Linked DNA regions of Drosophila melanogaster. Changing the gene in region 3 together with the main gene of any one other region gives a genetic interaction. Each region holds a gene or a part of one and is shown on either strand. Other genes may lie near its edges.

Region 1 (9,270 bases), on a different chromosome or scaffold from region 3:
GTTTGGGCCATATTGTTTTCCCCACGCGCACAGTGGGAACTGCGGATGAAGATCGTAGCCGATAAGAGCCCAGCCGTGTTTGCTTTCCCTTTATCTGGTCCGTAAAGATGGGGTATCTGCCAGTTTAAAATGATAAACAACTGCTTGAATATAGTATGAGTCTTAATATCTTCCCGAAATAATTATGTAAATTATGAGTCACTGCCTCCCAGTGTGCGCCACTTTCGAATTGTCAACCTTTTGGCACCCGCCAATCAAAGAAACGTATTTAATTGGGCTTCTAAGGCGATTGCATCGCTTGGGAAAAGTGCACTGAAAAAAATATATACTGAAGTATATACAGCTGTGCTTATTCTGAGAAGTGGGTGATATTTAATTTTAGTGGATTTTATTTTTACAACTTTTGTTATCAGAATGACTTGTTTGGAAACCTCGAATAAATAATTAAACAAATTATGATACATTTATATTTGTTCTTTGTGCTTTAAGTATTACAGATATGTTTGCGTACTTTATTATTCTGTTACACAAAGCCGCATGTATGTTCCCAGTGCAGAAAGGTCTCTCGAACTCAACTCGTATCCAAAACCACTTTTCTGTGCGCTCGTCCAACGAGAATTGAGTGAGTTGCTCCGCTGGGTTTTGAGCACTTTGAACGACCCATTTTCGTGGTGCCAAACTGGTAGTGGAAGTGGCAGCCGGTCGAAGAAGGACAGGCCCCAAATGGAAGTGAGTGCATCCGCTTTGGCTGAATTTTTGGACACAGAGGCTATCATTCCGTTACGATTAGGGCGCACTTAATGCCCCTGCCCTAGGTCAATGAACAGCGATCGGTGGGCTAGAGTAAACATTTAGCTGCCGCATGTGGCAAAAGCTAAAGTCGCCTGCAGCTGCAGCGGCACAGTGTCAACATCTGGTGTTTGTTGCACTTTTTTGCATCCTCGCACATGTGCAACGCTGGCGCAACGCATGCGCCCTGCTTGAGGTTGTTTTTTTTTTTTTGAAAGCATAGAACTAAAACCAAAGACGTGCAGATACGGGTATAAATAAAGTATGTAAATGCGACGCAGCAATTTTGACATATTAGCAGCTAGCTAGCTGAGTTGCATCCTGAGTGCATTGACCGCACACAAGCCACACATGTCACATAGCATGTGCTCCACGGTGGGGGTACAGTAGGCTCTGGGCATTGGCGTACACCACGAGGATATGTTTGCAAAATATGACAACTCTTTAATAAATTCACTTTTGGCTTTTTTGTACAGAGTATGTTTGTTGTGGTAGACAAAAGTTACGTAGTCACATAGAACTGCAGTTAACAACAGTATACTATCAAAAATATAAAAATGTTTTCTTTTCGGCCATCGAACATGCCAAAAGGGGAATATCACCGTTAAACGCCTTACGAACAAGGACTAATACAAACTTAAGATACTAATAGCTATGTAGTATACCCCACAGATGCAACACATTTCAAAGGTATCTGATACCTGGGAGATTGTCGACCAGATCAGAAGTCATGGCAGCTCGTAGGCACGTTCTGAAAGGAAAGTTCGGTAAGTAAAGCTTAATCTCTTTGTCCTCCGATTCACTGCTTACTCTTAAGGCTCAGCAATTTGTTGGCATGGCGACGTAGATTCTCTTGGTTGGGATTGCGCAGGACTTCAGCCGCCGCCTCCTTAATCATGCCCTCGATGCTCTGCAGCAGCCATTCCTTATTGGGGCACGTAATAGCCAGACGGTAATCGCCATCCGGTGTCCGCGACACGTTCCACTCTGCGGCGGAGTCGTCGCAGTCTCGGCTATCATTGCTCTCCGTGTCCTCCGTCTTTATAGCAATGCACCGACGCACCTTGGACGGCTCATCTTCTTCGGCGGCTTCCGGCACGGACTTGCGCTTCTTGCTATTGAGCTGGCGTTCGTCTTGGATGCGATCCCGCTTGGGGCACGTACATATTTTAACATGTATAACATGCTGTCCCACGATATCGCCGCTGCAAGAAAGAAAACACGTTAAGCTTTGTTCTAGCCATCTAGAGTTTTGCTGTCACCTTACCATGCTTTCTCCAGGCAGAAGACTAAGGAAGTTTCTTTTCGCCCGATACACGAGTTTTGGCAGACGAACTTGAAGGCCAGGGTCTGGCGCGTGAGCCCACTGCGGGTTACAGACCGGCTCATGTTCAGGGGGACTACAACGGAAAAACGCTCGGAAATTCCCTTGCCCTGAGCATTTCCACAATATACACTGTTGGGATTCTCGCTGCGCAGCAAGCTCTCGCGCATTTTTGCGTTATTGGCCGTCACTAAAGGTTTGTACAAATGATAGTTAAATAATCCTGTTCGATCTGTATTGTTATCTTCACTTACAAGGCTCAACGCTAAGGTGATTTTGACAGCGGACCACGGGAGCACTCACATCATTGGAGAAGCAAAGGAACACACGCAAATTAAGTGGTTGGATGGGCATTTTAGACTTGAACTGAACGTCCACGTTGAAGGCCTTGTTCATCCGGATGTAGAGCTTGTTCAGCGGAATCGAGTACATCCAAAGAGACTTGGGCGGCTCATCCAGAACCATGCTGAAGCAATAACCACCGATGTTGTGATTCTCTAGCTTGGGCAGCGTGTTCGCCTGGATCTGAATGTCCTGCAGCATCATTTCGCGCAGCACGGATTGCTGTAAGCAAAAACAAGATATTATTTGAATGTCAACTTAACTCGCAATCATATAAGGGTTCACACTTTGCGCTCATAGAGCTGATAGAGCTTCATGTTCCAGCTTGCTCGAGTTACAAATGGACTGGCGATTTGTTTTGTATTCTATTCTATTTTTCACAAGTGCTTGAAATTCTCGCTAAACGATGACGACGGGAAGGAGTGCACCGTGCTAATCGGCTAGATAAGAGTGTTTTGTTCTGTCCTCCAACTGAAAGTGAACTTCGAAGCGACTTTGACGTCATGTCGCTCTTATGAAATTGCAGGCAGCGGCTGAGTCACGCAAGGAATGCCGCTTCCCTCACGCTTCTTATGCTCTTTTGTTTGTGGCTAGTAGTAGCACAACGCATGCTCAGTTGGTTTCTGGACGGCCGGTGAAATACATGCGTTTCGCGATGTGTCCCGATAGTGTCCGGCTACTTGACAGGTCCTCTAGATGGCATCAGTTGGGTAGTTGGAAAACAATTAAGCAGATATTAATGCTGTGGAAAGTGCGCTCACAGTTTGTATTAATTGTTCGAGAGAAATGGACTTCACCAGCGACTACGCGCATCGGCGTATGGTGAAATTTCTGACGATCATACTGATAGGCTTTATGACCGTCTTCGGACTCCTGGCCAATCGATATCGGGCGGGCCGTCGTGAAAGATTCCGCTTCTCAAAGGCAAATCTGGCCTTTGCTTCGCTGTGGGCAATTGCATTCAGCTTGGTTTACGGGCGGCAAATCTACAAGGAGTACCAGGAGGGTCAGATCAACCTGAAGGACGCCACCACTCTGTACAGCTATATGAACATTACGGTGGCTGTTATTAACTATGTGTCGCAAATGATAATCAGTGACCATGTGGCCAAGGTGTTGAGCAAAGTGCCCTTCTTTGATACCCTAAAAGAATTCCGTCTGGACAGCAGGTCGCTGTACATATCCATCGTTTTGGCTCTGGTCAAGACCGTGGCTTTTCCTCTAACAATTGAAGTGGCTTTCATACTGCAACAGAGGCGGCAGCATCCCGAGATGAGCTTGATCTGGACCTTGTACCGGCTGTTTCCCTTAATTATTTCGAATTTTCTCAATAACTGCTACTTTGGCGCAATGGTGGTGGTGAAGGAGATTCTGTACGCTCTGAACAGACGGCTGGAAGCGCAGCTGCAGGAGGTGAATCTGCTGCAGAGGAAGGACCAGCTAAAGTTGTACACTAAATACTACCGCATGCAGCGATTTTGCGCCTTGGCGGATGAACTCGACCAGCTGGCGTATCGCTATAGGTTGATATATGTGCATTCGGGAAAGTATCTGACCCCAATGTCCTTGTCCATGATTCTGTCGCTCATATGCCACCTGCTCGGAATAACGGTGGGTTTCTACAGTCTGTACTATGCCATAGCGGACACCTTAATCATGGGCAAGCCGTACGATGGTCTTGGATCGCTGATCAATCTGGTTTTCCTCTCCATCTCGCTGGCGGAGATCACATTGCTCACGCATTTGTGCAACCACCTATTGGTGGCCACCCGAAGATCGGCAGTCATTCTCCAGGAGATGAATCTCCAGCATGCGGACAGCCGCTACCGTCAGGCAGTCCACGGCTTTACTCTGCTGGTCACGGTGACCAAGTACCAAATTAAACCCTTGGGCTTGTACGAGCTGGACATGCGACTGATCAGCAATGTCTTCTCGGCGGTGGCCAGCTTCCTGCTGATCCTCGTGCAGGCCGATCTGTCCCAGCGCTTCAAGATGCAATAGCTAATCGATGTTACCCACCTGGCTGAACTGCATCAGATTCCCGGACTGCGGGGAATAATATTAAATAGTTAGTAAGCTATAGCTTTGCACATTAAAAGCACAACTCACGTTTAATCCCTGCAAGAAGGCCATGGGTTCCGTGGTCCTGGAATAATAAAAACAATAATAGTTAGCAACCAGGCAAACCACATGTGACCACGTGACCAGGTACTCACAATTCCGATCCCGATACCTCCACCGTTTTCGGAATATCCTCCTTGATATCGACCTCCGTGGAGTCATCCTCGGAATCAGTGCTAAAGTGTAAAAGGGAAATAAAAACTTAGTGGCAAACTGCGCCTTGGCTGGATAAACAAACACAAACAAGTTGGCCGCGCGAATGATGCAAGTACAAGCGTGTTGCTACATGCAAGGTTTCTACTGTTCGATCATCAATTTGTTGCCGCACTGTACCTTTCTTTGTGCCACGACATTGGCTGTGATATATACATCTTAGTCGGCTATATCTGATCAAGCGATCTTGTTGGGGAAGGAGGCTAAATATTAAAAATTCGCTAACAAAAAACTACAGAATCGTAGTGGCCACCGACTATTTGGATTTTGCCATTCGCCACGCAGCGCGAACAATCGCCGTAGCCAATGTTTATCGATTGGAGCGCGTGTTTTGAATTTGCTCACCCCTTGTGGCAGACGAATTTGTTGCATGCATTAATTTTGTTATTGCCATCGGAATTATTGTTGGCCAAAATTTCCAGATTGTTCGTGAACTGCATCATGTTGTTCGTGTTGTTGCCTCCGTAGGCTGGATCCACAGGCGTAGCCAGGTGGGCATATTCGTTGGATTCGTTGCCAAAACTCTGCGGCAAGTTGAAAGCTCCGTTGCTGGAGACCCGAACTGCTGACTCTGCAGAAACTTCGTTGCCGATATCCCAAAAATCCAGGAACTCCTTGAAAGCTTCAAAAATTGTGCGACTATTGCTACGCGAAACAATCGAAGTGTTTCTGCAAAAAGGCGCAACATTATTTTGTTGGGTAAGACCGAATAAAATATCTCCGCTCACTGGTTAAAAGTCAAGCTAAACGACGCGGACTTGTGAAGACTCATGGCTGTGCACTCAAATAAATAAATTTTATTTAGCAGTTGCGATTTGTGTCCGCAAGAATCTTCCGTGCTCCAGGGATGTCAACTAACCGGAAATTGGCTAACTTAATGTCATATATCCATGGCTATCGATAAGCTATCGATAAGGATTTGGCCGAGTGCGAACAGTGCTGCCCATTGTGCGGCAAGTTAGAATTTCTGTTTTGAAATTTTTTCAATACTTCAATCTATTTATTAGTTTGCAAATAACGCGCCGTATGCAGCAAATTGGTTTCACTGCACAGCCCTTTGAATGGTCGAGCAATGTACCGTATGATTTCTGGCTCCTACAAAAAATTAAGTTTTATTTAATGGTGAAATTCCAAATTTTAGTCAAACTAAATTTCAATTAAAACGCACGAATTATACAAAGCTTAGGCAGCTACGGCATACGGATATATTTACAATTCTAAAAATGTACATAAAGCGCTACTGGCACAAAAGTCTTTCTCTACAGCAGACATATGATAATGCAGCTCTAATATTTCTCAGTCGTCACTTCGCTCGGCGGCGGCGACTCATTTGTTCGATTTTGAACATCGGTCACGGTGGTGAGGTCAGAGCTCGAGGATTCCCTCGAATGCCTGGGGAGAAATGGAAAACAGCACAGCAATAATGATAAGTGTACAGTGGAGATGACATAATCGTAGATTAAGTATCATATTCACACAATGTTTCAATCACCTGTAAAACACATAGTGCTGCAGCATGAAGAACACATCGAAGAGCACGGAAAACAGACCCAGTCCGAATTTGGTGGGATCACCGAAAATCGACACCCAATCATCTGGAAACCAGACACGATTTCATTCGAAAATCACAAATTGATAGACTATATCCTACCGTAATTATGAGCATTCAGAATCATTTGCAGCATGCTCAGCGTTCCTCCCGTGAAATCCAGCAGAATGTTGCCGATGCTCCAGCCGGAGGTGCTCTTCCGGCGATAGTTCATCAGAGCTTGCGGCACGTACTTGATGATGGTAATGGTTAGCTTGACGTAACTGCAGTAGTACAGAAAGTCCAGCCAATGGATGACGGATCCTCCGGCCAAACCGGCAGACACGACGACCACCACGGCGAAGATGGCCAATATTCCGTAGGCAATGAACGACACCCTTTGCTGTGCTCTCTGGACAAATTTAACAAAGTATGGATGTTTTACAAGTCAAAACCTTATCTACTCTTCATATCGTAACTATCCGCTGTGATTCAAATGATTTGGCATTTTGATTGATGGCAATTAGTGTTCAATGCGACAACTGTTGCCACTTCGGCGATAAGGCTATTGAATGGTATTTGCTATATATATTATTACCTGATAGAAAAAGCACTGAAGGATCGTAATGCAGGTGGCGAACATGGCATGCAGTGAGAAGACCACGTCGTTGAGCATCACAGGATTCACTCCCAGCGGATATCGCACCTCGTACTCGTTCTGCAGATCCTCGATGAAATAGAGGCCGCAGTTGAACATGCTGTACAGGGTGAAGCCCACGATATTGAGGGCCAGGAAATCAAAGTTCAGTCCCTCGACGGACTTGCGGCGATAGTTGCTCCAGATCTGCGGATAGAAGGACACCGACCAGGCCACAAAGTAAACCCAGCCAAAGATGATGGAGGTGTAGATCAAAGCTCTCGATTTGGCCACAGTCACGCGTACGAACACATCCTTCACACTGGAAAATAAGTGAATTTTCCAATTAGGTACGGGAACAGTTGGGATTCCCGTGAAGTTACTCACATCTCTTTGTTCGCATCATCGCTATCTGCGACCACTTTGACGTTGCCGGCTTTGAGGCCAGTTATCACCACCGACTGATTTCGAGTACTGCCCGCTGGATACACAAACGTTGCGGGATCGAGGAGCAAATGATCCTCCGAATCTGTTCCCAGCGCAACTTCCACGTCGCTGTCTAGCAATCCGCTGTAATGGGCACAATAGATTTACGATGCCATATGTTTTGGATTTGGATTTCCCGGCAATGGCAACTCACTTGGCGAACACCAGAAAAGTCTCGTTGCTGTTCAGCAGAACGGTGATGTCATGGGAATCGACGGTGAGCTGACTGCTTTGGGCATTTCCCAGGGCAACTGTGGGCAGGAGAAATTCCCTCATTATTAGATCGCAATATCTGGATTGCGATATCTCACCTGTGGCCAGGAGGAGGAGCAGCAAAGTGGTCAGGCGGTGTGTGCTGAAATCCATTCTGCTTGCGTTCAACGTTCAACTTATTCATGCATGAGCATCCAGTCCTGCTGGCATCTTCTTCAATGAAGCCCTATATGGTATTGTATTGATTCAATTGTGAATTACTTCAATTGACCAATTGACCACGATCGGGTGAAATTGATATCTACTCGTAGGAGTATGGAATGCAATTCCTGACACCTTTTTTTTTTTTGCTTCTTAATTTAATGACCCGTGCAGACACTCAATCAATAAGGAATATAATATGATATAAAATGATATAAACATAAAACTATTTGTTCCAAAAAAAAAACTTGCAGTGCAAACTACGCACGCTCGCTTCATCTGGAATTCGTGTGTGTTTTTGTCGAGATAAAAGTCGGTAACCTTCATCAAATGTCGCTCAATGTTACAACTTTGCAATTGGAGCACACTTTCCCACGGCAAGCGTTGGAGCACCCATTTTATGTGCCTATATGGCCCAAATGGACGTAACAGGAAATACATGGGCTTTGTCGGTCGATCGTAAAACCAAAAGATTCCCGATTGTTCATACTATATTTTTTATATGGCGAGGGCCGTGACTTGGCGATTGCCAAGAAGTGTAAAACACCGCGTGAGAACGGGCTTATCTCAATCAATGGAGCTAGCTGATAGTGTCCGTCGAATTATTGCGGCAGTCTGCCACAAGTTGCAGATAATCAATAGATTGGGCAATGCACTGCGATTGCAATACTAATCGCAAGTCACGATCCAAATTTTGGTTCTACATAAATCAAAACTAATGAGAGTGGTAAACTACAAGGGTAATTTAAAGTTCGAACACCATATCTTTCACGATCGTTCACACGAATCTTCATGTTTCAACTGATATGCACCATAAGTTATTCACTAATTCTGTTTCAATTCTGGTGATAGATAAGACGATTGATTGGTAAAAAGGTCCATTGTTAGTTAACAGTAACACCCATTTATTCATTCATGATTCCACGCACGAGATACGCTTGTTGTGCGTCTGTTTGAGCCGGATTAGAACTTTCACTGGCATGTGGGCAAGCAGAGGCTTTTAGCCGCCAACTGCTAACGCAAAACATCTGTATAAGCCGCCGGATTATTGTGATTAAGATAATGCGGATTAGAACAGTTGTTTGCCTATGCTATATGCATGATCGCCACCCAACACATCAATTCACTCACGTTAAGAATGAAGTTAAATAATGTGTCCCAACTGACGATTGAGCGACTGCCGATGGCTACAAGTGGAATGGAATGCTATGATGATGGCTGCGATGGCGACTCTCCAGTGCGACTGAGTGCGCGATCCAATGGATCCGTTTAAATATTGGAGCGATGGAGTCGACGTCGACTGCGGCAGCGGCAGCGACGCACCAGCGGCAGCAGCAACAACAAGTGGGGCGAGAGCGGACCGCCGACGTATCTTGGCTTTTTATTATACATTATTTTTGCACTTGAGAACCCGGC
Region 2 (5,317 bases), on a different chromosome or scaffold from region 3:
GACCGGAGCACCCGGCTTGCGTGGTCTGCCCGGACCACAAGGTGAACCAGCGCCAGCACCGCCGGCACCCAAGAGCCGCGGATTCATCTTCGCCCGCCACTCGCAGTCCGTCCACGTACCTCAGTGTCCGGCCAACACGAATCTGCTATGGGAGGGCTACTCACTGTCGGGCAACGTGGCCGCCAGCAGAGCGGTGGGTCAGGATCTCGGTCAGTCCGGCTCCTGTATGATGCGGTTTACAACCATGCCGTACATGCTGTGCGACATCACCAACGTCTGCCACTTTGCCCAGAACAACGATGACAGTCTCTGGCTGTCCACCGCCGAACCCATGCCAATGACCATGACGCCCATCCAGGGCAGGGACCTCATGAAGTACATTTCGCGGTAAGTGCCAATTTCCTCCTCCCCTAGAAATCCCTTAGACTATTGACATGTCTTGTTCCTCAGTTGCGTTGTGTGCGAAACGACGACCAGGATCATCGCCCTCCACTCGCAATCCATGTCCATTCCGGACTGTCCAGGCGGCTGGGAGGAGATGTGGACCGGCTACAGTTACTTCATGGTAGGTTACTATTCTCAGCATAAGGAATTAAAGGTTAACCCACCGTTACCCAACCTTTCAGAGCACCTTGGACAACGTCGGTGGCGTTGGGCAGAACCTCGTCTCCCCGGGCTCTTGCTTGGAGGAGTTCCGCGCCCAGCCGGTGATCGAGTGCCATGGCCATGGACGCTGCAACTACTACGATGCGCTGGCCTCCTTCTGGTTAACCGTCATCGAGGAGCAGGATCAGTTCGTCCAGCCGCGCCAGCAGACGCTAAAGGCGGATTTTACCAGCAAGATAAGCAGGTGGGTTACTTGAGCAAACCCATTAGCTGTATACATATGTATCTACAATGGCGGTATCATCTTTCAGGTGCACGGTTTGCCGTCGTCGAGGCAACAGCTTTGTGGCTCGCACTGCAAAGTCCAGGGCAGATGCGTCTTCCGGTTTCACAGATGGTTCTGCCTCGAGTAATCCTTCGGGCAGTTTGAAAACAGATGGCAATTACAGGGCAAACTGGCAATCCGGCCGGTCTTCCAGTCCTGGCTCTCAGTCCAGTCCTGGTTCCAGCTCCGGATCCTGGTCATCTGGATCCAATGCCGGAGCTTATCCTGGCTCCAATGCCGGAGCTTATTCTGGCTCCAATGCCGGAGCTTATCCTGGCTCCAATGCCGGAGCTTATCCTGGCTCCAACGCCGCCTGGCAATCGAGGACCAATGCTGGATCCAGCTGGCATTCCGGACCCGTAGCAGGATCGGTCTCCAATCCGGGATCGTACTCTAGCTGGTCCACGGGCTCCAGTCCTGGTTCCAATCCCGAATCTAACGCCGGGTCCACGCGCTCCTCTTGGATCACGCGCAGTCGCGGCCCATCAAACTATCTGAACGGAAGGTACCAGCAAAGGGTTCACCCGAGCAACCTGCAGGCCTACGATGAGTATGCTCGCCATGGTGGCAATACCCGCCAGTACAACCGACGCCCACGCGAGGACACCACCGCCCCCTAGATTGCAGTTCGAACTAAGTAGCAGTTAAATATACGTCTTAAGTAATTTGCTATCCTATCCAGGAAACGAGATAACGATCCAAACCCCAACTCGAGTACCAAACAAACAAAACTTTAACCACAGAACAGTGCCATTTTCCGTGGAGATGTAATCTAATTACGTGGACACCAAAAACTAAAACCATATGACACATATGCCACATACCAAATATAATTATGGAATTATGGAAGAGGGGTCGAGAAGAGTAACCACTGCCTCCACTGCAACGAAAGTAAATCTTGTGCCCCTGTTGGGATTATTGTAAACGTAACACAACCAAAAAGAAAGCCCAGTTTTTTGATAAATAAAATGTACAACACATAAAACGAATGCACAAGAAATTTCGTTTGATTGAAATTAAAGCGAACTTTATATCCCATCTAAATCCGATCAAATGCGATTTTGTTCGGTTCGGATTGGATGCGTTTAGGATGTGTAGAGTAGGCTATAGTTGGGGTGAAAACAGAAATACAGCTAAGTGGATAATGTCGGGACAAGAGCTTATGTTTAAGTTAGGTTCAGAGCCGGAAATCGATGTCTGCGGCTGTTTTGGTGTTGTCCAACTGCTGTTTTCCGCGCTCCTCCGTCCGTCCAGTCAGTCCAATGCTATTATTTAACAAAGTCCGGATTCTCCTGCACCTTTTCGGTGAACTGCAGATGGTTGTCGATGATTTGAAAGAGTACCTCCGGCGAGGGAAAGCGTCCCGTCTGCAGTTTCGACCACACAGGCACATCGTTTAGTGTTATCTCGAAAGCGCCGGACGAGATGAGCTGGGCCTCGAGCATGTTGCCCAGGAAGAAGATCATCATGCAGGCGTATATCTTGTTAGCCTGCATGTGGCTCCACCAACTGGGCGTGTTCAGGCCAAGGAAGGTGAACGGACTGACCGCACTGACCACGGACACAATGATTATGATCTTCAGGGCGAATATCATCTTGGAGAGGTAATAGTTTAGACCCGGCGGATCGTAGTTGCCGCCATTCACCTGAATTTGCGGATACTTCTCGCCCAGCAGGCCCACGTAGTCCTCGAACGCCTTGCGATAGCCGCAGGAGTAGCTATTTGGCGAATCAATGGTGAGAAACACAGAGGTCATTGTTATCAATTATGTTAATTGCCCCGCATATAACGCACCAGTAAAGGAAAGTCATCGTCGGCGCTATGTTCTGTCCGAATTTGGTAACCGGTATCTCCTTCTCGCCCTCGGCGAACACCAGGGCGTATCCGGCGCACAGGCACAGCACCAGTAGTGCCACATTCCTTCCGGTCAGCCTTTCCATTGCGTGCTTATGGTCTGATTTAATTAGGAATTTAATTTGGAATTCAATATTTCCTCACACTTTTGCCTTGGTGTTTGTCCGTGTGACTGGCAAATACCCCGCTACTTCTGTCTACTTTTCGTAGTGAGTAGCACTGATAGGGCTGGCAAAATAGCTATATTTCTTAAAGTACGAAACTTCCGACGGTGAAACTAACATAATATAGTTAATATCGGGTGCTGGTTTAAAGCAATGTGTTATATTTCGTTGATTGTAAATATTATATTGCCATGCTGAAATTATTGATTAAATTATCAAGTAAAGTCAAAAAAATATCGATAGTAAAGACTGCCACCTCTAGCCTACGTTTCACTGTGAATATGTCATTCAGCTCTGAGAATTGGTGAGATTGTTTATTAATTTCGGCAAACAAATGCTGGCAACATGGTAAATGTTATGAAAGGAGTGCTGGTGGAGTGGTAAGTGGTATACGTTTGGTATGCGTTGGTTTCGCTATATTCAACCCAATCCCCGCAGTGATCCTGCTATGAAACAATTCCTGCTGCACTTGGACGAAAAACTGGCTCTGGGACGCAAATTCATTATCCAGGATCTGGACGAGAACCATTTGTTTATCTCCACGGACATTGTGGAAGTTTTGCAGGCGCGAGTGGACGACTTGATGGATCGGATAAGCTTTCCGCTGCACGACAAGGACGCTTAGAACCTACACAACCCATAAAATCCAATAGCCAAAAGTAAAAACCTAAAAACAACCATGACGGGTCGCGAATCCAACCGCATCAAGGACGCTGAAAAGAAGCGTGTCCTGGACTCCACAGCCCGCCAGCGGCGTGCCCGCAAAGCCTTGGAGGCTCTGGAGCAGGACAACTACCACGATGACCCACACGCCGACCTTGTCATGTCCAAGAAGTTGCCCAAATTCCAGGACAGCCTGAAGACCGGCAAGGAGAAGAAAGGCAAGCGCAAGGGCGCCGAATACTTTCTCGTCAAGTATCGCAAGAACTTCCAGCAACTGCTCGAGGAGGACAAGGACAAGCAGCCCAACTACGAGAGCGCCGCAGCGCCGGCTCCACAAAAGCCACTGCGGCATTTCTGCGCCGTTTGCGGCAACTTCTCGTTGTACTCGTGCACCGCCTGCGGAACGCGATACTGTTGCGTTAGATGCCTGCAAACGCACCAGGACACGCGCTGCCTCAAGTGGACGGCCTGAGCATGGTTGTTATGTTTACAAATAAATCAAACATTAGGCATAACTGAATTGCGCGAAGTTTCTGGAAATACATACAACAAATTTTAGCTGTCGTGAATTTTAGCCAATTTGCCAGAGCCATTGGGTTAATGTCATGGCTAAAGATGCCGGCAACATCAAAACTTTGGTTCGAAACATGGCTGTTCAAGGTATTTGTCCATTTTTAGGCAATTATGCTGTGAGCGTCATCGATAGTATCGACCGCTGTGCCACCTCTAGCGCAGGTCCATTGAAACTTTTCAAACGTCTGCATCGACGGCGCCTGTAAAAGAGTCGCTGTGGTTCAAATTAAATTCAACGTTCCCGAGCACAAAACACTGCGAATTGCGGCCTTTTAGTCACCAGAAGGCACTTAAGTCGGCTAAAAAAAATCATATTAATTTCAACCGGCAAAATCAGCTGTAGCTCGGTGCCTGTGCGTGTGTGTGTGGGTGTGTCGTGTGCGTGCGTACGTGTGTGTGTGTGCGAAGTTCCAATCAGAAGGCCAGGATATTCAAACACATCTGTGAAAATTTCTTATTGATCACAAGTGTTATATTTTGAAATCAAAACACTGTAGAATATGGATCGGAACTTCGACGAACTGAAAAAGGAGGCCGCTGCCACCAACGAGGACATCTTCAAGCAGGCGCAACGTGCCTACGAAGACTCTGCACTTGGTGGCGATACTGGCAATGTGAGTGGTGGTGCCCAGGACGATAATGCCCACACGGAGCACTACTTCGCCAACGAGCAAAAGAAGTTGGACTTTGGCGATGCGCAGGAGTTTGTCCAACGCCTGGCCGCCGACGCTAAGGATGCCAAACTCGATTTGGACACCAAGTTTGCACAGAAGACTGATGATTTCGAGGACTTTCTGCGCGACGCTGGCAAGGAGGTGAAGCAGGGCATCAGTGGACTGACCACCGACTTTATGAATGCCGAGCGGGGCTTCTCCGCTCCCCTGGCTCCATTCTCAGAGACGGTAGCTCAAGCTCCGGTTATTCCAGCACAAGCTCCAGCTGTTCCCGATCATGCTCCGGCCGTTCCAGCTCCAGTGGCGCCAGCTCCTGCTGTCCCAGCTCCGCTTCCTGTCGAGGAGGACCTCCTGGGCAGCTTCACTGACCAGCCATCGGCACCACTCCAGGCCTTCCAGCCAACGGCACCGTCCACGGCCAATTTCTATGACGACGAGGAGGATGACTTCCTGGGCA
Region 3 (6,414 bases):
CGTTCATATTATTCAGATTTATTTTTAAAAATATTCCTAGTTCTATGCTATCTTGGCCTTGGGTGGCACTTTCGGTATGCGCTTTATCCTCCTGTCCACGATGTGGCGTAGACGCCTGTCCGGCTTGACCAGCTCGCTCTCTGTCATGGGCTCGATTACCTGGCCCTTGCGCGTGATTACTGCCGGACGGGTCAGCATGCGGAACGCCGTCTCCGGCACAAAGTTCCGGCCAACTGGAGCACGGATACTGGCTTCGTAGTCTGCCAGGGATCGGAAAGGAAATGGTATGCTGGAGACCATGTGCTGGCGCGCCTGCTTGCTGGCGGACTCGTTGAGGTAAAGATTATCCTTATTCTCGTCACGACGCTTTTCCGGAGCAGCCAACTTAAGAAGAAGCCGCTTGTTTCGTCGCTCCATTACCTCCTTCGAAATGCCAGCACCCGCCCAGGAACCCCATCCAGGCAGGGCGAGCTGAAGCTCAGTGTTCTTAAGCTCGGAGTCCTTGCTTTTGTCCCGATTAAAATCAGCTACAATGTCATCATCCTCGAAGGCTTGACTGATTGTCAACTGGCGTTCAGCAGCGGCGTCTTCCTCGTCGTATTCAGCTGCTTCATCGTCTATTAGAGCATCGTTAAAGCCTCCCGAGTTGCCCTTCTTTTGGGTAAACACCAAAGTTGTCACCTTGTTGGGATCTATGGTATCCACAGCTGGAATTTCCGTGCTTTCTGTGTTACCTTCAACGTGGGCAGGGATATTATTCTGTGAATTTTTATCCTCCTCGTAGTTAAGGGGCTCGTCAATCTCTATCTGTTGCTTTGTCTTTTTTAAAGCCAGACTTTTTAGGTTTTGCAAGACGTCCTTCTTTTTCGCCTTCTTTCCCTTGACAGGAACTTCTTTAAGTTTGTTTATCCGTTCCCTCAATTTCTCCATTTTCTTATTTAGTTTGGCTCTGATATGATCCTCGTGTTTCTCAAAAATGTCATCAATGGCTTTTGAATTCGGGCTTGCCTTGGCTTCTTTCTGATCAGTTGGGCAAATATCTTCCACCTCCCAGCCATTTTCTATCTTAACTTTCGATTTCTTAAGTTTCTTCTTAGCAGGTTTTACTTCTATTAATGGTTTCCGAATAGTTTCTTTCTCCTCCTGCTCGTCATTATCCTGGACTCCTTCCAAATCCCTACGATGCTCCTCCAGTAACTTTTCGTTTTTATTCCTTTTTGTCCAATATTGCCGCCAATTGGAACCCTCACTTTCACCATTTCCATTTTCCGTTTGCTCTGTAGCTTTTCTTTTTGTCCAAGGATTAAAGGGATCGTAGTCATTATCCTCCTCCTCGGGTAAAACTCTCTTCTTGGTGGTTTCATCTTCGCTGTCTGACACCTGCTTTTTCTGGGTCAGTTCCCTGCTAACAGCCAACTGCTCGGCCAGATCCTTTCGCACATCCTTGTCGTACTTGGCCCGTATCTGCAGATTCTTCGCCCAAGTACCGGTGTTCTTGTGCCGCAGGCTGGCACGCTCCTGCACTCGACTCTTTTCCAGGGCATTAAGCTTTTCCAGCGCCGCCTCTGGATCGGTTTTCTGCAGCAACTCGAACTCCTTCATCTGCTCCAACATTTTTTGTCTCTTCTGCAGCTTGTGGAACTTTTTCGATTTGATTTTGTTTTGCATGCGCGCCTTTGCTGACTTTTGAGACTCGCGCATCTTCAGGTAAGCTAGCTCCTTGCGACGGGCAAATAGTTCGTCCCTGGTAAGCTTCTTTTGTAGTAAAAGCCGCTCTTGCTTGGCCAGCTCCTTTTCATCCGTGGTATCCCCAATTTGCGCTTTGCGCAGTTCCCGTAGTTTACGGTTGTTAGCCTCGAGTTCTTGAGCAAGATTGGACTTGACCCGGGTGTTTAGAGGCCTGGCATTTGCCGCAGTATTTACGTAAACCGTTTCAGATGGTAGGGGGAAGATCTGTAATAAGTTTTGGAGATTATATGTGTATGTCACTGTTAGCATTGGCATTCATTCACCTGCGTCTCCGCAGATCTCTGTTGAGCCACCACAGCATCCCAACGACCGAGTTTCTTGGTAACTCCCTCGTAGCCAATGGTCCGTTTAATTCGATCCGCAGCTGGTTTCTCCAGCGGCTTCTGTAGCACCTTTTTGCTGCCATGGATGTTCTTGAGCTTCTTGCCCGTCTGACTGTGCTTGGTGGAGGTGCGTAGGATGTCTACCAGATCGTTCAGACCCACGGCTCTGGGGGCATGATCCGTTTCCGCTGACGAAACACCTTTTACCAGCTGGAACTCATCCTGGAGCGACTGCCGCTCGTCGCGCGTGGACTTCTGGATGTGCTGCACCTTGCCCAGACTGCCGATGGCCTGCAGCAGCTTCTTGTGTGCCTTTGGTTCGTAGTGCTCCTCGTCGTCACTCATTTTTGTCAGGAAAATATTTAAAATCAAATAACAATACAAAAATACTTCGCGCAGCACGTGTGCAGAATAACAGCTGAAGAGTTATCGATAAGTTTTGCGGCCCATCACAATTTCTACCTGTGCTCGATAGCATGAGTGTGGAAAATGGAGCTGCCTTCTTTTAAAAATTAACTTAAATATAATAACATTTACTACTCAATACATATATCTATGCATCAAAAATCAATTGATTTTTTTTTAACAATAAATGTACTTTTAACTCAGCGAAAACCCCCTTCGTAACGCCCTTGATGATTACTATCGATTGTCCCCCCACGAAAGACCGGCTATCGATGACAACGGGATGAAAATATTTTGTTTACGAATTCGACATTCGAATCGTCATGGCCGACACGAAATCCGGTAGTGGTCGGCATTCGGCTGCCGGGGGAAGTGGAAACGCCGTCCTGTCGCCCTTGGGGCAGGGTCCTGCGAACTTGGAGTGTAAGGACTTTCAGGAGTATCTGCGCACCCGCCAAACGCCAGAGTCGCTGGAGAAGCTGTACAACTATCCGCCCATTTGTTTGGCCGTTTTTCGGGAGCTTCCAGAGATAGCCCGGCAGTTTATCATAAGGATACTGTTCGTGGATCAGCCTGTGCCACAAGCGGTGGTCACATCATGGGGTGCCCAACGTTGTGCCAAGTATGACTGTATCCAATTGGATAAACAATATCATTGCAATGCATTACTTTTGCAGGGAGCAAGCCGAGGCAACCAGCTGCCTGACGGCTTTGAACGTCTGGCGGGTCACAGCCATTCCGGGTGGCCTTTCTGCGTGGGAGCTCTCGCCCACCTTCAAGAAAAGCGTACGCCAGGTGCTGCTGGGCGGCGGAAAACCTTGGCCTATGACCAACACGCTGGATAAGGACTCGAAGCCCAGGGACATTGCTTTTCTGGATACATACGCCATGTCCCGCTGGCGTTGCGTGTTGCACTACATGGTCGGCACCGGAAATCGCAATGGCACCGATGCGGAGGCCATTAGTCCGGACGCCGTTCGGATTCTGCTGCACGCCAATCTCATGAAACGTGATGAACGAGACGGTATCACAATAACCCGGCAGGGCTTTCAGTTCCTGCTGCTGGACACGCGAGCTCAGGTGTGGCATTTTATGCTACAGTACCTGGACACGTGCGAAGAAAGAGGAATCAGCCTGCCGGAATGCTTGTCCATGTTGTTCCAGCTCAGTTTTTCAACGCTGGGCAGGGATTACAGTTCCGAGGGCATGAACAGTCAGATGCTGACATTCCTGCAGCATCTACGGGAGTTTGGACTGGTCTTCCAACGTAAGCGTAAGGAGGGACGCTTCTATCCCACACGTTTGGCTCTGAATGTGACAAGCAAGGAGGCGGCTGCGACTGCATCTGTGGCCATGGATGAGGAGGCCACTCAGGACTGTGGCTACATTGTGGTGGAGACGAACTACCGAGTGTATGCCTACACTGATTCTCCGCTCCAGGTAGCCGTGTTAGGTCTGTTCACGGAGCTTCTCTACCGCTTTCCCAATCTCGTCGTGGGCGTGCTAACCCGCGATTCAGTGCGCCAGGCGTTGCGTGGCGGTATCACGGCAGAGCAGATTGTCTCGTATCTGGAGCAGTATGCGCATCCCAATATGCGCATGGTCGAGTCAGCCATTCACTCTAAATCCTGCCTGCCACCCACAGTCGTTGATCAAATTAAGCTGTGGGAATTAGAGCGAAATCGCTTCACCTACACCGAAGGCGTGCTGTACAATCAGTTCCTCTCGCATACAGATTTCGTAACGCTACGAGACTACGCCCAGTCGATCCACATGCTGGTGTGGCAAAATGAGCGAACTCGCACAATGGTGGTGCAAAAGAATGGCCACGACGATGTCAAGCGTTACTGGAAGAAGTACTCTAAGAGTGGTGTTTAGCCCGGTATTACGACCAATTATTGGGAAGTTATTTTAGAAGTAACATCTGTGCCCATTTTGTTACAAGCTAAAATTTTAAAATATGGTTTAATAAGGGAGTGTGGGATTACACATTTATCATCGACATTCAACATACAAGTGGAATAAAATTAAAATACACAAGTATCATACACATAAAAACAGAAAACCACCAAAGCTTTTCCTAGATTGTCCTTTAGGATGGGTCGACATGTAATATTGCTAAACGTAAAAAACAGTGAAGAGACAACTAACAAATGCATACAAAATAATTTTATTTACCCAATAAAATAGAAAATTTAGAATGTCCTATACGTTATACCTAAAGAAAGCATATCGAAACATCCTCGCCTACCTAAATGCGAGTGGAAAAGAAACTAGCTCAACCTAATACAAAATGGGACGCTGGGGCATGCAGAGATTGTAGTAGCTGCCCTTGGCCCAAAAGTCCATGCCCTTCCAGCCGCACCAACCTTTAATTTGAATGGTGGCCAAATCATCGGCACCTGTATAATGGGGATCCAAGATGAGGAACTTCACCTGACCCGTCTGCACGCAGTAGTCCACCCCGATAATGGTGTGGGCCAGAACACCGCCACCAATCATTACCGGTGTACCTTGCGTTTGGAAATGCATCGCCAGCTCGGAGGCAATAGTCGCCAGCTCAGCTCCAGAGGCTACGTGCAGAATTTTTGAGTCCACGTTAAGGAATCCCTGCAGACACATGCTGATTTCTGTGGAACCAATCCACTGAGAAGAACCCACGAATGCAGCAGGTTTGTCGTTGATCTTGTGAAGGTATTCCTGCACCTCCAGATGCGTCGGAATCGGTGCGTTCGTATAACCCTGCAGCACAAACCAGGAGCAGATCGTCTGCAGCGAGCGATATGCGCATCCCCATCCCTTGTCCTGCACCTGCTGTTGCAGGTAATGATAGTAATGGTAGTTACCATTTACTAAGTACTCTTTGCCGTCGACAACTCCACTGGGACGTAATCCGATGTGGGTATTTAGCAGCGGAGTCCATGGTGCGTCCTCCGTTTCACCTAGGAAAAGCATCTGGTTGGCCCTGCGGAAATAAGGACGACTGATGGGCAAAGCAAACTGTCGATGCAGGCGCTTGCGTCTCATTAGCATGCTTGGTGTATCGTCACTCAGACCTTCCAGATAGGCGCAGCTCACGAAGTGACCAAACTCTTGTGGGTAGAAGTGATAGCTAGCGGGCACCAGCAGCTTTCCACTTCCCGACTCCGTGAGATGCTCAATCAGGCTCAGTTCGAACAATCTGAGACCTCTGCAGATGCTCTCGATGAGTACGTCGTATAGCCGTTGGAGCTTCGTTTTGCGGCAGAGAATGGCCATGGCTTCGATCTCTAATGGTACCTGGACTCGGATCTGTTCCTCATTGGTCACAGCAATGCTGAGTGCCGGATGAGGTGGCTCTCCGGACACGGGATCACGACTGCGCGAGCGCATCACATCGATGGGGATCACCTCGTAGTCGCAGCCAGTCGGAGCCAGTCTCTTGACTGGCGTGTTCTGACCTTTAAGCTTCTTTTTGTCGACACTGGCAGTCTCCTTTTCATGTCCTGGAGTTGGAATGACGTCTATAAGATCCTGAATTTGGGAATCGCCGCTAAACTGTTTGTCCAGTGGCCCGTAGTTATTAATGAAAATCTTTGTCTGCGGAACGTTAAACACTAGATTTCCGTCGGCTACCCTTTTGCGCAGCACATGCATTTCCCGGGCCACGGATTCCGGTGTGGCGGCCGTTTGCAGAAAGAATCCGCACTGCAGCCGGGTGAAGCAGAAGTCGTTGTACAGCTGATGTGCCTCCATAACCTCGTAGGGTACCTCCTCCAGTTTTCCATGGACGAAAAACGAGGCCCGCAAGCCCACCAAGGTGCCCAATTCGCATTGCAGTAGGATGGGATTATCGGTGATATCCACAGATTTGATGACCTCATTAAGGTGCGCCTCTCCATCGGTGCAACCACCAAACTTGACCAGTCCGCATAAATCCAGTTCCGCCGGGAATCTG

Evidence for each region.
Region 1: of mrn (region 3) and p53, changing one enhances a phenotype caused by changing the other (phenotypic enhancement), as found in Drosophila melanogaster (one study listed by BioGRID).
Region 2: of mrn (region 3) and Tfb5, changing one suppresses a phenotype caused by changing the other (phenotypic suppression), as found in Drosophila melanogaster (one study listed by BioGRID).

The regions. Positions count from the first base shown.
Region 1 is NT_033777.3:23,048,448-23,057,717, forward strand, and holds p53 (p53), read right to left. Parts: upstream 5,636-9,270; 5' UTR 5,562-5,635; coding exon 5,518-5,561; exon of another isoform or gene 5,459-5,517; coding exon 5,135-5,458; exon of another isoform or gene 4,948-5,134; coding exon of another isoform or gene 4,910-4,947; exon of another isoform or gene 4,753-4,909; coding exon 4,672-4,752; exon of another isoform or gene 4,602-4,671; coding exon 4,565-4,601; exon of another isoform or gene 4,502-4,564; coding exon 4,475-4,501; exon of another isoform or gene 4,469-4,474; intron 4,457-4,468; coding exon of another isoform or gene 3,242-4,456; intron 2,784-3,241; exon of another isoform or gene 2,773-2,783; coding exon of another isoform or gene 2,743-2,772; intron 2,678-2,742; coding exon 2,368-2,677; intron 2,304-2,367; coding exon 2,057-2,303; intron 1,995-2,056; coding exon 1,600-1,994; intron 1,541-1,599; coding exon 1,518-1,540; 3' UTR 1,210-1,517; downstream 1-1,209. Other genes in the region: Gr94a (gustatory receptor 94a), read left to right, coding at 3,242-4,456; Ctns (cystinosin), read right to left, coding at 6,076-6,181, 6,282-6,384, 6,441-6,729, 6,916-7,276, 7,342-7,524, 7,595-7,691, 7,752-7,806.
Region 2 is NT_033779.5:5,008,745-5,014,061, reverse strand, and holds Tfb5 (transcription factor B5), read left to right. Parts: upstream 1-3,227; 5' UTR 3,228-3,295; coding exon 3,296-3,330; intron 3,331-3,388; coding exon 3,389-3,575; 3' UTR 3,576-3,629; coding exon of another isoform or gene 3,630-4,085; 3' UTR 4,086-4,131; downstream 4,132-5,317. Other genes in the region: vkg (viking), read left to right, coding at 1-387, 451-565, 627-850, 918-1,551; SelT (selenoprotein T), read right to left, coding at 2,200-2,650, 2,727-2,872; CG31917 (uncharacterized protein), read left to right, coding at 3,630-4,085; Rtnl1 (Reticulon-like1), read left to right, coding at 4,687-5,317.
Region 3 is NT_037436.4:15,576,893-15,583,306, reverse strand, and holds mrn (marionette), read left to right. Parts: upstream 1-2,769; 5' UTR 2,770-2,800; coding exon 2,801-3,099; intron 3,100-3,154; coding exon 3,155-4,355; 3' UTR 4,356-4,538; downstream 4,539-6,414. Other genes in the region: CG12301 (uncharacterized protein), read right to left, coding at 43-1,953, 2,013-2,417; Ufsp2 (UFM1 specific peptidase 2), read right to left, coding at 4,761-6,414.